2 linked regions of the Sus scrofa genome follow. Each later gene encodes a partner of the first gene's protein in a complex. Links are inferred from orthologs where the notes say so. Each region holds a gene or a part of one and is shown on either strand. Other genes may lie near its edges.

Region 1 (5,503 bases):
GTATCAAAATGCTGACTTTCAACAGGAAAAGTCTCCTGAGGGAGGGGGTCAGGCCCAGGTGAAGAAGTTCTCATTAAAATGGTGGCTTTCAAACGGCACTGGCCTCTGAATTCACTCTTTCCCTGTTTGATATACCGGTAGAATTCAACCTCCTAAAGAAACTTTCTCCAGGGTGGCCACTGTAATTTGAGGATCGGAGGTGGCATTTCATCCTTTTTTTTTTTTGTCTTTTGTTGTGATTTCTTGGGCCACTCCCGTGGCATATGGAGGTTCCCAGGCTAGGGGTCGAATTGGAGCTATAGCTACTGGCTTACGCCAGAGCCACAGCAACACGGGATCCGAGCTGCTTCTGCAACCTACACCACAGCTCACAGCAACGCCAGATCCTTAACCCACTGAGCAAGGCCAAGGATTGAACCCGCAACCTCATGGTTCCTAGTCGGATTCGTTAACCCCTAAGCCACCATGGGAACTCCTCATTCATTCTTTCGATAGATAAGTTTGAGTGCTTGCTTTGTGCTAGGCACGTCATAGGACTGAACAAAATAAAGCTCTGCTTTCATGGAGCTTTAAGTATAGTGGGGAAAATTGGCAAGCAGTAGGTGGGGGTTGACAGGAAACTAACAAATGGAACATTGTCAGATTAATAATGGAGGAATGTCAAGCAGGGAAGGGGTCTGGGTGGTGTCAGGGAAGGCGGGGGCATTGAACTGCAGGGAAAGGGTAAAACTTAGACTGCCACTGGTCATGAATTCCTTTGGTCCTGCTTAACTGCCCTGTGAGGAAGTGTTAAGACTAGAGCTTGGGTCTTGTCAGGCTAAGGGTAGGTATTGAGTGGAATGGGTAGAGGTAGAACTGATGACAGAAGAGGGCAGGAGGGCATGGGGTTGAGAGAACTATAGGAGTAATATTCACTGGAGTGGCAGTGGGAGACTCCCCATGTCTGCTGACACCAGCTTGAGGTACATTAAAGCAGACTAGAAGCCAAGGCAAGGTTGTGGGTGGGGGACCTATGGTCCCCTGCAGCTATTGATTCCCCTGTCAGTCCAGTGCCCCCTTCTCACAAGCCCTCAAGAGACCCAGCCTGCTTTTCTTCCTGGGCCGGTGCTGTGACCAGTCAGTATGGCCCAGAGGTTAAAATTTCTTGCTTCAGGGCGGTGATCTCCAAACCTGTTTTGTTACATATAAGTATTTTCTGAACATGTATCCCAAGATACATGTATTTAGTGATAAAGTATGACAATGCCTTCTTGAGTAATGCCTTGAAACAGTTACAGTGATTTAACATATATAATGAGATACATAGAATGTAAGATATAATTTTTTTCCAGAAATTTTGTATTACCTCTTGTACCCCACCTTTTTGGCCTCTGCTCCCAAGGGTCATATATTCTGGCTGTGTGAAGTTGGGCAACTTAACTTCTCCAAGTTTCAGTTTTCTCATCTGTAAGGATAATAAAACTATCTGAGAAACATGAGGGTTAAATGAGATAATTCAAGTAAAGCTCTTAATGCTTACAAGAAAAAGTCTTCTCCCCAAACTTGAGTATTAGAATTCAGTCTTTCTAGCTTCTTTCACGATACTGAAAATAGATCCAAGTCCTTTGCACTGGAGATTTTCCACACAAGAGATAGCTAGGGGCAACCAGTAATACCGAATGTGGATAAGTTACACAGGTTAGAAACCTCCATATTTTTCAGAACAATTATACTGGGTTTGGAATTCCTGACTTCCTCTCTTGAGTGGTTCTTGAAGGCCTATTAAAGCAGATTCCTCTCCATCTAAACATGCTAATAAAAATAACTAACATACTGTGTACCAGATGCTGTTCAAAGCACTTTACACGGTAATATTCTCTCAAGTCATTGCAACCATTGATTTAGGTGTGATTTTTATCCCCATTTTGTTAAATAATTTGCCCAAGGTCGTACAGCTAGGAAGTTATGAAACCAGAACTCAAACTTAGATGCGCTGCAACTCTGAAGTAGATCTCTGGAGTCGCAGTTGTAGCCTTGTTGCTGCAATAAGGCTTGAATGAGCAGATAGATGGACAACAGGAAAAACACGGTTGCGCATCGGGGGGCGGGGGGATGTAGACTGGGCACCGGAGATATGCTCATTCCTCATTAGCCCTTAAACGCTCTCTTTCATCTATCAGCTTGGACTGCTCCAAATACTCGGCCACTTCCGGGCCCGGTTGCGCCTCCTAGGGTCCTCGCCGTTCGTTTCGCGTTCAAGAATTTTGTCCCTAGCGCCCGTCCGTCTCCCCGCCCTCGCCGCTGCCATGGCGGCAGCTCCGCCGCTCTCCAAGGCCGAGTATCTGAAGCGTTACTTGTCCGGGGCAGATGCCGGTGTCGACGGGGGCCCTGAATCCGGCCGCAAGCGTCGCAAAAAGCGGCCGAAGACTGGCGGGGCTGGCGGCAAGGGGTGAGTTGGGTCTGGCGGCTTGGGTCCGCGGGGCTGCCCCCCCCCTCCCGCCTTCCCAGCTCCGCCCTCGGCCCGGCTCTTCCTCGACGGGTCGCGGGCTGCCCGGCTTTGACTGCTCGCCCGACCCTGCCTCAGCCCAGAGTCGGCCGGGGCCGCTTCTCGCGCGCTTCGGCAGTAACTTGGGTGTATTCAGGCCAGGCTGTAACTTTCATTACTCTCTTCCCGCTTTTATAGCAGTCCGTCTTCTCTCGCAGAGAATGAATATTATACCCTGAAAGTATTGGTGGAGCGAATTCAAAGGCTCTGGGCTTGGGTATTTAGGGCCCAGAACCTGTCTGGGGCGGGGGGGGGGGGGGCGCTTCTCCAATCCTAAGGACTCCCGTCCTGAGTTGGAAACCTGGTGCTCATTTCCTGTTATTCTTACTACTACCACTACTACTACCACCACCAAGTAACATTTGTACAGTTCTTGTCATGTGCCAGGCACCGTTCTGAGTCCTTTAGATATACATGAATTTATTTAAGCTTCATAACGCTACCATGAAGTAGATGTTGTTGTTAACCCCATTTGTCAAACAAGGAAAATTACGTGGCCCAGCGTGCTGGGTTGAATAGTGCCTCTTCTCTCCAATTTATGACCACCCAGGACCTCAGAGTATGACATTAGAAATAGGGTCTGGTGTTCCTGTCAGTGGCTCAGCGGTAACGAACTGGCTAAGATCCATGAAATTGTGGGTTCGATCCCTGGCCCCGCTCAGTGGGTTAAGGATCCAGCGTTGCCATGAGCGGTGGTGTAGGTCGCAGACGCTGCTCGGATCCTGCCTGGCTGTGGCATTGGCGGGCTACAGCTCCCATTCGACCCCTAGCCTGGGAACCTCCATATGCTGTAGGTGCGGCCCTAAAAAGACAAAAAGAAGAAAAAAAAAAAAGAAGAAATAGGGTCTTTGTAGATGTAATTAGTTAAGATGAGGTCATAGTGAATTAGGATGGGCGCTAAGTCCAATATGACTGATGTCCTTTTAAGAAGAGGAAAATTTGGATACAAAAACAGGCTTTGAGGGAAAATTACTGTGTGAAGATGGAGGCTGAGACTGGACTGGATTCATATGCCACTAGGAGCTACCAGATACTGGATGAGTCAAGGAAAGATCTTCCCCTAGAGCCTTCCTGGCAGGCGTTGCCTTGCAGATACCTTGATTTCAGACTTGAAGCCTCCGGAGCTGTGAGAGAATACATTTCTGTTGTTTTAAGCCACCCAGTTTTGTGGTACTTTATTAGGCAGCTCTAGGAAACTACCCAGTAAAGTCAGATAGCTACAAGGGACTAATCCATTTCCTTTCCTGATTTGGTTGTCCCGTTATTCTTCCTTTATGTCTTCCAGCCCCCTCTGACTTGTGTGGATTCCTTGGAGGAAGTGCCATGTAGTGAAATTAGCTTGAGCTTTGCAGCGACACTGATCAATATTTAAGTCCTAGCTGTGCCACTTTCTGGGCTAAGCCTCAATTTCTTCATATTTAAAATGAGAGTAGTAGTGAATGGTATCATTTATATTAAATGATTGTGATTAATGATCTTGGCTTTTCAAATAACTGTTTACATCATGGCAGTTATTTTTATTATTTGGACTCATCCATAGCTTATCTATGGAACAAAATTTATTGAATATTCTCTATGCTAAGGTGTTGAGGGGTGCAGGATATCCCTGTAAATAAGAGAGGCATAGTCCCTATTCTGATGGAACTTATAGTTCAATGGGAATACAGCCGTTAAGCAACTAATTACACAACTTGTTGATTTATTTCCTTTTTGATAAATGAAGTAGAAATATTCCAAGAATGTCTAGCAGGGGTTCTTAGTTGGGGATGGTAAGGGAAATAGTCAAGGAAGGTATGCTCAAGGAAGTCATATATATGCTAGGATTTTAAGAATGAATAGGAGTTTCCCAGTAAAGAATGAGAAGAGTAGGTCAGGCAGAGAGAAGGAATTGAGTTTGTGAAACTGATATGGGAAAGAGTTTGGCTCATTCTAGACAGCAGAAGATGACCAGTGAGTAGGGAACCGAGAAGGCAGTGGTATAAGATGAAGTTGGCCATACTGGCAAAGAATGGACCATAAGATCTTGTAGGATTTTGAGCTTTAGCCTAAAACCAATAGATAGATGTTTGTTGGCTGTTAACCAAGAATGATTCTTCTCTTTTGATCTTTTTATTTTCCACATTTAGTATGCGGATTGTGGATGATGACGTGAGCTGGTCATCTATCTCCACCACTAAACTGGAAAAGGAGGAAGAGGAAGATGATGGAGATTTGCCTGTGGTATGTATCTTTTTATTTTTTTGACCGAGCAAGGGGCATGCATGAGAAAGTCCTAGGCCAAGGATCGAACCCATATCACAGCAGTGAATTGCTGAGTCCTTAACCACTAGGCTACCAGGGAACTCCTCTATCTTTTGAGGCTGTGAGGACTTTGAAGTGTAAGCCTCTCAATCTCAACTCCCAGTGCAGGGTATATTTATTTGTAAGGAGAAAAGTTGAGGGCAGAGACGAGGTGACACTTTCCTGGAGCTATTGTAAAATAGTCTTCTTTGACGATGGCTATACACAGTCTTTGTTTATGGAGGGCCCTATCAGCTTGGAAATGGGAACAAATCACAGAGAGGCAGGATTCCTCAGTGTCAGTGATAGAGCTGTCGTTAGAATTAGCCGTGGTTCAGTTTGTTGGAACCTACCTTAAAAATAATGTTCAGGTTCAATTAAAGGAAACTTTTTGTTTGCTCCTTTTATTCCCTGATTTTAACTAAGCTTTAAAATTATATACTTTTGTCTAAGTATAGGCGATATGTAGATTAATAGAACACATAGAGGTCATACCTTAGAATGGGAGACTGAATTTCAGCAATGTGATGAATGTTGGAAGACAGGTGACATGTGCACCAAGTCCTTTTAGAGAACAGGGCAGGTGGCATACTTTTTATTTCATTGGGAAATTCCACGGAGTATATAAATATCTGAGTTGAGTTTTGAAAGATGAATAAGAGCCAGGTGGGCAAAAGCATAGGCCGATGAGTTACTGTT
Region 2 (4,745 bases), on another chromosome or scaffold:
TGTCTACAAGGTCACCTCAGCACAGGCAATCTGGTCAACCAGAACAGTGGACAGCAAGGAGGGGTGCAGAGCAGGGGGACCCCAAGACTGGGCTGGACTTTATGATCAGTGGTGAGCAGAAACCAGCCCCAGAGCCGCCCACCCTGGGCTGCAGCCCAAGTAGTTTCTGTCTCCAGCAGGGACCAGACCAGAGCCACAGCCGGGCAGGGCCTGTGTCCGAGGGGCCCAGCTGTGCCCACAAAGGCCACCCGTGGCCCACATGTGGGAAGAAGTGCCCCAAACACCCCCCAGCTCTAGACTACCCAAATGTTTAAGAAGAAAGTATTACATCTTTGAGAAATTAAAAGCAAATGTCCTGCCTGATCAGAAAGGAACAAGGACTCAGTGAGGGCAGGGCCTCAGGCTCCACAGGCCAATCCCAGGGCTGGTTATAAAGGAGTCACTCACCTTCACTGTTCTTTGCAAAGTTCAGTTTGATCAGCGACCTCCCATCCAGTTTCTGGAAAAGTGTAAATAATAATTAATAACAATGAAAAATATGACAAACACTGAGGCCACAAAGCTGGTGCAACAGGCAGATAGCAGCCTCTGACCACCCCAGCCTTTGCCACTATAAATGGCATGGGGGCCCAAGGACCTGGTGGTGAACCTGGAATGGATGGCCCCCCTCAAAGCAACTTACTCCAGGTGCCGCCCAAGCTGAGGCCGAGGCGGGGAGGGTAGTTTCACGCCTCAACAACATTCAGGCATTTTTATGGTGAGCACCAACCACCCATGAAATTTTTAAATGAATGTTTCTTCAGCCAGACAGTGGGTACAGGCGTTCACCCTAACGCTCTGCTGTATAACTACCAGAGAAATAAAAACAGTGGGGGAAAAGGAATAAGTACACCCAAGTACCAAGAAAAAATGTGGTATTTCTCAAAATTTCTGTACTGTGCCTGTGACTTAATCTTCTATGGGAAGCTGGACAATAAAGCTGGGTCTGGGCAGCCAGAGGAGCCCCTGAAGTGGAGGTTTGGCCCAAGGAAGTGAGGGGCTGCAGGAGACCTCGGGCAGGGAGGCACAGCACCCCTGGGAACACTGGACTCAGGAAGCAGCCCCTGCGGCCACCGGTTGTCCTCTCCACACCTGCTCCTCTGCCGCCGCCTTCCTTGGTCAACTGCCCCATGCCCCGTGCAGGCACGCCTCTGCCAGGACAGAGGCAGGGCCGCCCAGGCTGCTCCCATGGCCAGCCCCCCTCCTCCAGGCACACATGACCCAGGGAGGCCCCCAGTACACTCCTCCCGTGGCTGATGCCATGGGGACCCTACTCAGAGGTGCGGCAGGGGCTCTGCTGAGGCCACACGGCTGACCAAGCCCCGCCTCCAAGGCCAGGGGCACCAGGGGGACTCCCCCAACAGGACGCCTGGAGCGAAGGCAAGGGCCAGTTCTTGAGAGGGGAGCCCAAACCATGGACGAGTCAGCAGCCACACTGGGCCAAGTGTCTGGAACCCACAAGCACCCATGGAGCACACAGTAATAGGAGGCAACTGGGGACTTGGGGACAGGTGCAGAAAAGGAACCACCAGGACATGGGGCAGGGCAGGGCCCCCAGCAGAGGAACCCCAGCCTCGACACAGCTGCTCCGGGGGGGCAGACATGGCCTGATGCTGGGGAGGCAGTGGACCCGGAAAACAAGCCCCTTGCAGTGGCGACTTGGCACATGCTGACCTGCAGGAACAGGTAACAAGACTGAACCGGCCGCAGCTCACACATCCGGAGCCAGCTGCCAGGACACTGCTCACACTCTGTGCCCCCAGCCTCACAGCACCTGGGTCCATGTGGGCCTCCTGGAGGACAATGACAATGATGGCCTCCACTCTCCACACAGCCTCCAGGATCTGTCCCAGAGCGGACCAGGCCTCACCCACCCATGCAGGGTGTGCTTCATCCCAGCAGACAGGGCTCTAACCACCGCTGGGCCTGGGTCCTGGCTATGCTGGTCCCCACACTGCCTGCTATCCCCAGAGTGGGCCAGACTCCATCATGGTGACCTCCCCTGACACCCTGGGGGAGCTGATCTGTCCTCCACAGTCCAGCAGAGGTCCCACTCTCCCTGCTTGCCCTCCTCAGCCCATCTCCAGCCCACCCCCTGCTCCTCCCCGAACCATTCCTTCCCCTCCACCCTCGCTCCGACCCTGAGGGATCTCCCTTCTATCACTAGCCTGAGATGCTGGGCACAGGCTGGATCTCCCAGCTCCTCCTGCCCATCCCTGCAGACACAGGACTAGCCAAGACAGTGACCACCCATCCTCCTAGACACCACTGTCCTGATGTCTCTGCACGTCCCAGTGGTCTAGGCCCTTGGCTCCACCTCCTCAGCCTTCACCCTGGTTCAAGTCCACTGGCACCTCTTGCCCAGGGTCCCCACCCTCAACCTCCTGCAGTCTGTTCTCCAAACAGCAGCCAGAGAGAGCCTTTCAAAAAGCCAGATTGCAGCAAACTCCAGATTAAAGACCTGCCTGGCTTCTGGCCCACCCAGAAAAAAGCCAAGCTCCCTCCTGGGCCTGCAAGGCCCCTGATGTGCCTCTGACCATTTGCTACCATCTCCCCTCATCCCCAGGTCTCAGCCTCAATGGCGCTGCTCCAGAGACGTCCCTAGGCCCACCCATCCTCCCCAGATCAGCATCCAGCCTCCCACCTACTCTGCTCGCAGTGCCAGGCCCCACACAGCATGGCTAACACTTTCCTGCTGAGTGAATGGAAGGAGGGCTAACTCGAGGTGAAGGGACAGGAGAGCAGAGGGGAGGAGCACGACACAGGAGCCAGGGCTTTAGGACAATAGTGAGCGGGGCATGTGGACAGGAGGTAAGCCAGACCTTAACCCGGGACTCTTTCACACAGGCCTGCATGACACACCATGCTCACCCGCCCTCACCACTGGGGTGCAGATTGCAGAGCACTGCTGCCTCTAAGGAGGAACACTCAGAGACGGCTGGTACCCAGAGATGCCTAGGGTCTGCGGAAACGCATTTTGTCTCACACGCTGCCATCAGGAGTTTGGAACAGCGTGACCTCTCTGGGGGGAGAATTTGCCAGGAGCTCCCAAACTGAGAACACAGCCCCCCAGCGGCCAGCAGTTCCAGGAGGACTGACCACTGTCTGTAACAATAGGGCCCACAGGAAGGGACACATGGACACTCCAGGCGCAGGCAGTGCCAGACATGCTGATCCCAGCCCCGCGGGATGACAGTCACGTGCGTGGCAGCATCAGTGCCGAGGAGAGATGGCTGCAGGCACACGTACTTGTGTGAGAAACAGTCTAGAAAGGCTTGGTGTGAAGGAGGAGGGGACAGTCCACCGACCACACCGCGAAGGCTCCTGCACAGCCGCCTACCTCTCCGTTGCTGGGGTTGGTCCCGTACTTCTTCAGCCAAGGAACGATGTTTCTGGAAGGAAGGGAAAAGAGCGTGTCAGCTGGCAGCCTGGGGCAGCCTGGGGCAGCCTGGCGACAAGGTTGCAGTCCAGGGGAGAGTGGGCAGGGGCTCTGCACCATCAGAGCGGCCACAGGAGATTTCTGGTGACATGCTCTTCAAAGTACATTCAAGGTTTTCACCGCGGTCATGTACAGACATGTGTAAACAACACAAACCAGCGGGAAAAGACGAACATACACATGGATGCATGTGTACAAGAAGATACTGAGCCAACATCAAAACTCATACTTCCTGAGGATTCTGCATGACATGGGGGGGGCGGGGGGAAGCTCTCATTATAACTCAGTGAAAAACGGATCCAGAACTATGTTCACCATACAACCTTAACCAGGTTACTGCAAATAAACCCCAAGAAAGGGAGGAGTGAGGGACTGACAGTGCTCATCCTGGACAGTGTGGTTACGGTAAGTTTTCTTTTTAGTTCAAAGTATTTTCCAAACTTTCTAAAAGGAGTCTGAACCATGAGAAAATTACAGAAGCTGGTTCAAGCCAGAACATAAAACTGAGCAAAACACCCCAAAATACAACACTAGGAAAATGTGCACTTTAGTAGTGGCTCTGCTTTCATAAAGTGAAAAACACTTGGTTCGCTGACACTGTGAAACAGGTGCAGGGCTCACAGAATGCCCAGGCCCCACTGTGGGGAGGGTCGGTGCCACTGTGGGTAGAGATCATAGCAGCACTGCTGCCTCGTGCCTGATGCCCTGAGAGTCCCTCCCAGGTCCACAAAAGGCCCAGCCAGGGATTCCCAGGCTACTGCGACCTTAGCACGTTCGGCTTGGCACTGCCTGGGGCTGTGAATGCCCCCAGGTGGCCCCACATCCCCTTCCAAGTGCCAACAACCTCACCATGTGACCACATTCATTAGTGCAGATGTCAAGGGAAAACTTACAGCAAGTCAAAGACGATGCCTTCAGGAGTGCAGACCGGGTAGGCGAAGGGCTGCAGAGAGAGACTGAGGAAGGACAGAGTGACAGAGTCACCCCAGGAAAGTGGCAGCTGCTCCCTCGCCTTCCCACTTCATTTACTGCTCCCCAACAATTCCCGGGCTTCTCTGCCCAGCCTGGGGTGAAGGCCGGCACAGAGGGGACCCCTAATCCCTGCCCTCAGAGGCTCCTGCCACAGACCATTGAGTACAAGGCAAGGGTCCCAGGAGGCAGTGAGGGCGCCTTGGGATGACAGCTGCCTGGTTCCCCGCACAGCCTTTGCTTTGTCAAATCATACATGTGACCATGTTCAAGCCCAATGAGGCCCCTGGAGGTGGCT

What was found.
Region 2: BUD13 (region 1) and PPIL2 share a complex: the UniProt entries of both Homo sapiens proteins name them as parts of the minor spliceosome. The link is inferred for Sus scrofa from reciprocal best matches to the Homo sapiens genes BUD13 and PPIL2.

Annotation. Positions count from the first base shown.
Region 1 is NC_010451.4:44,162,017-44,167,519, reverse strand, and holds the start of BUD13 (BUD13 homolog), read left to right. Parts: upstream 1-2,118; 5' UTR 2,119-2,285; coding exon 2,286-2,428; intron 2,429-4,650; coding exon 4,651-4,744; intron 4,745-5,503. UniProt on the Homo sapiens protein: Involved in pre-mRNA splicing as component of the activated spliceosome. As a component of the minor spliceosome, involved in the splicing of U12-type introns in pre-mRNAs.
Region 2 is NC_010456.5:50,222,448-50,227,192, forward strand, and holds part of PPIL2 (peptidyl-prolyl cis-trans isomerase-like 2), read right to left. Parts: intron 4,435-4,745; coding exon 4,372-4,434; intron 3,432-4,371; coding exon 3,380-3,431; intron 2,115-3,379; exon of another isoform or gene 1,759-2,114; coding exon of another isoform or gene 1,714-1,758; intron 500-1,713; coding exon 448-499; intron 1-447. UniProt on the Homo sapiens protein: Has a ubiquitin-protein ligase activity acting as an E3 ubiquitin protein ligase or as an ubiquitin-ubiquitin ligase promoting elongation of ubiquitin chains on substrates.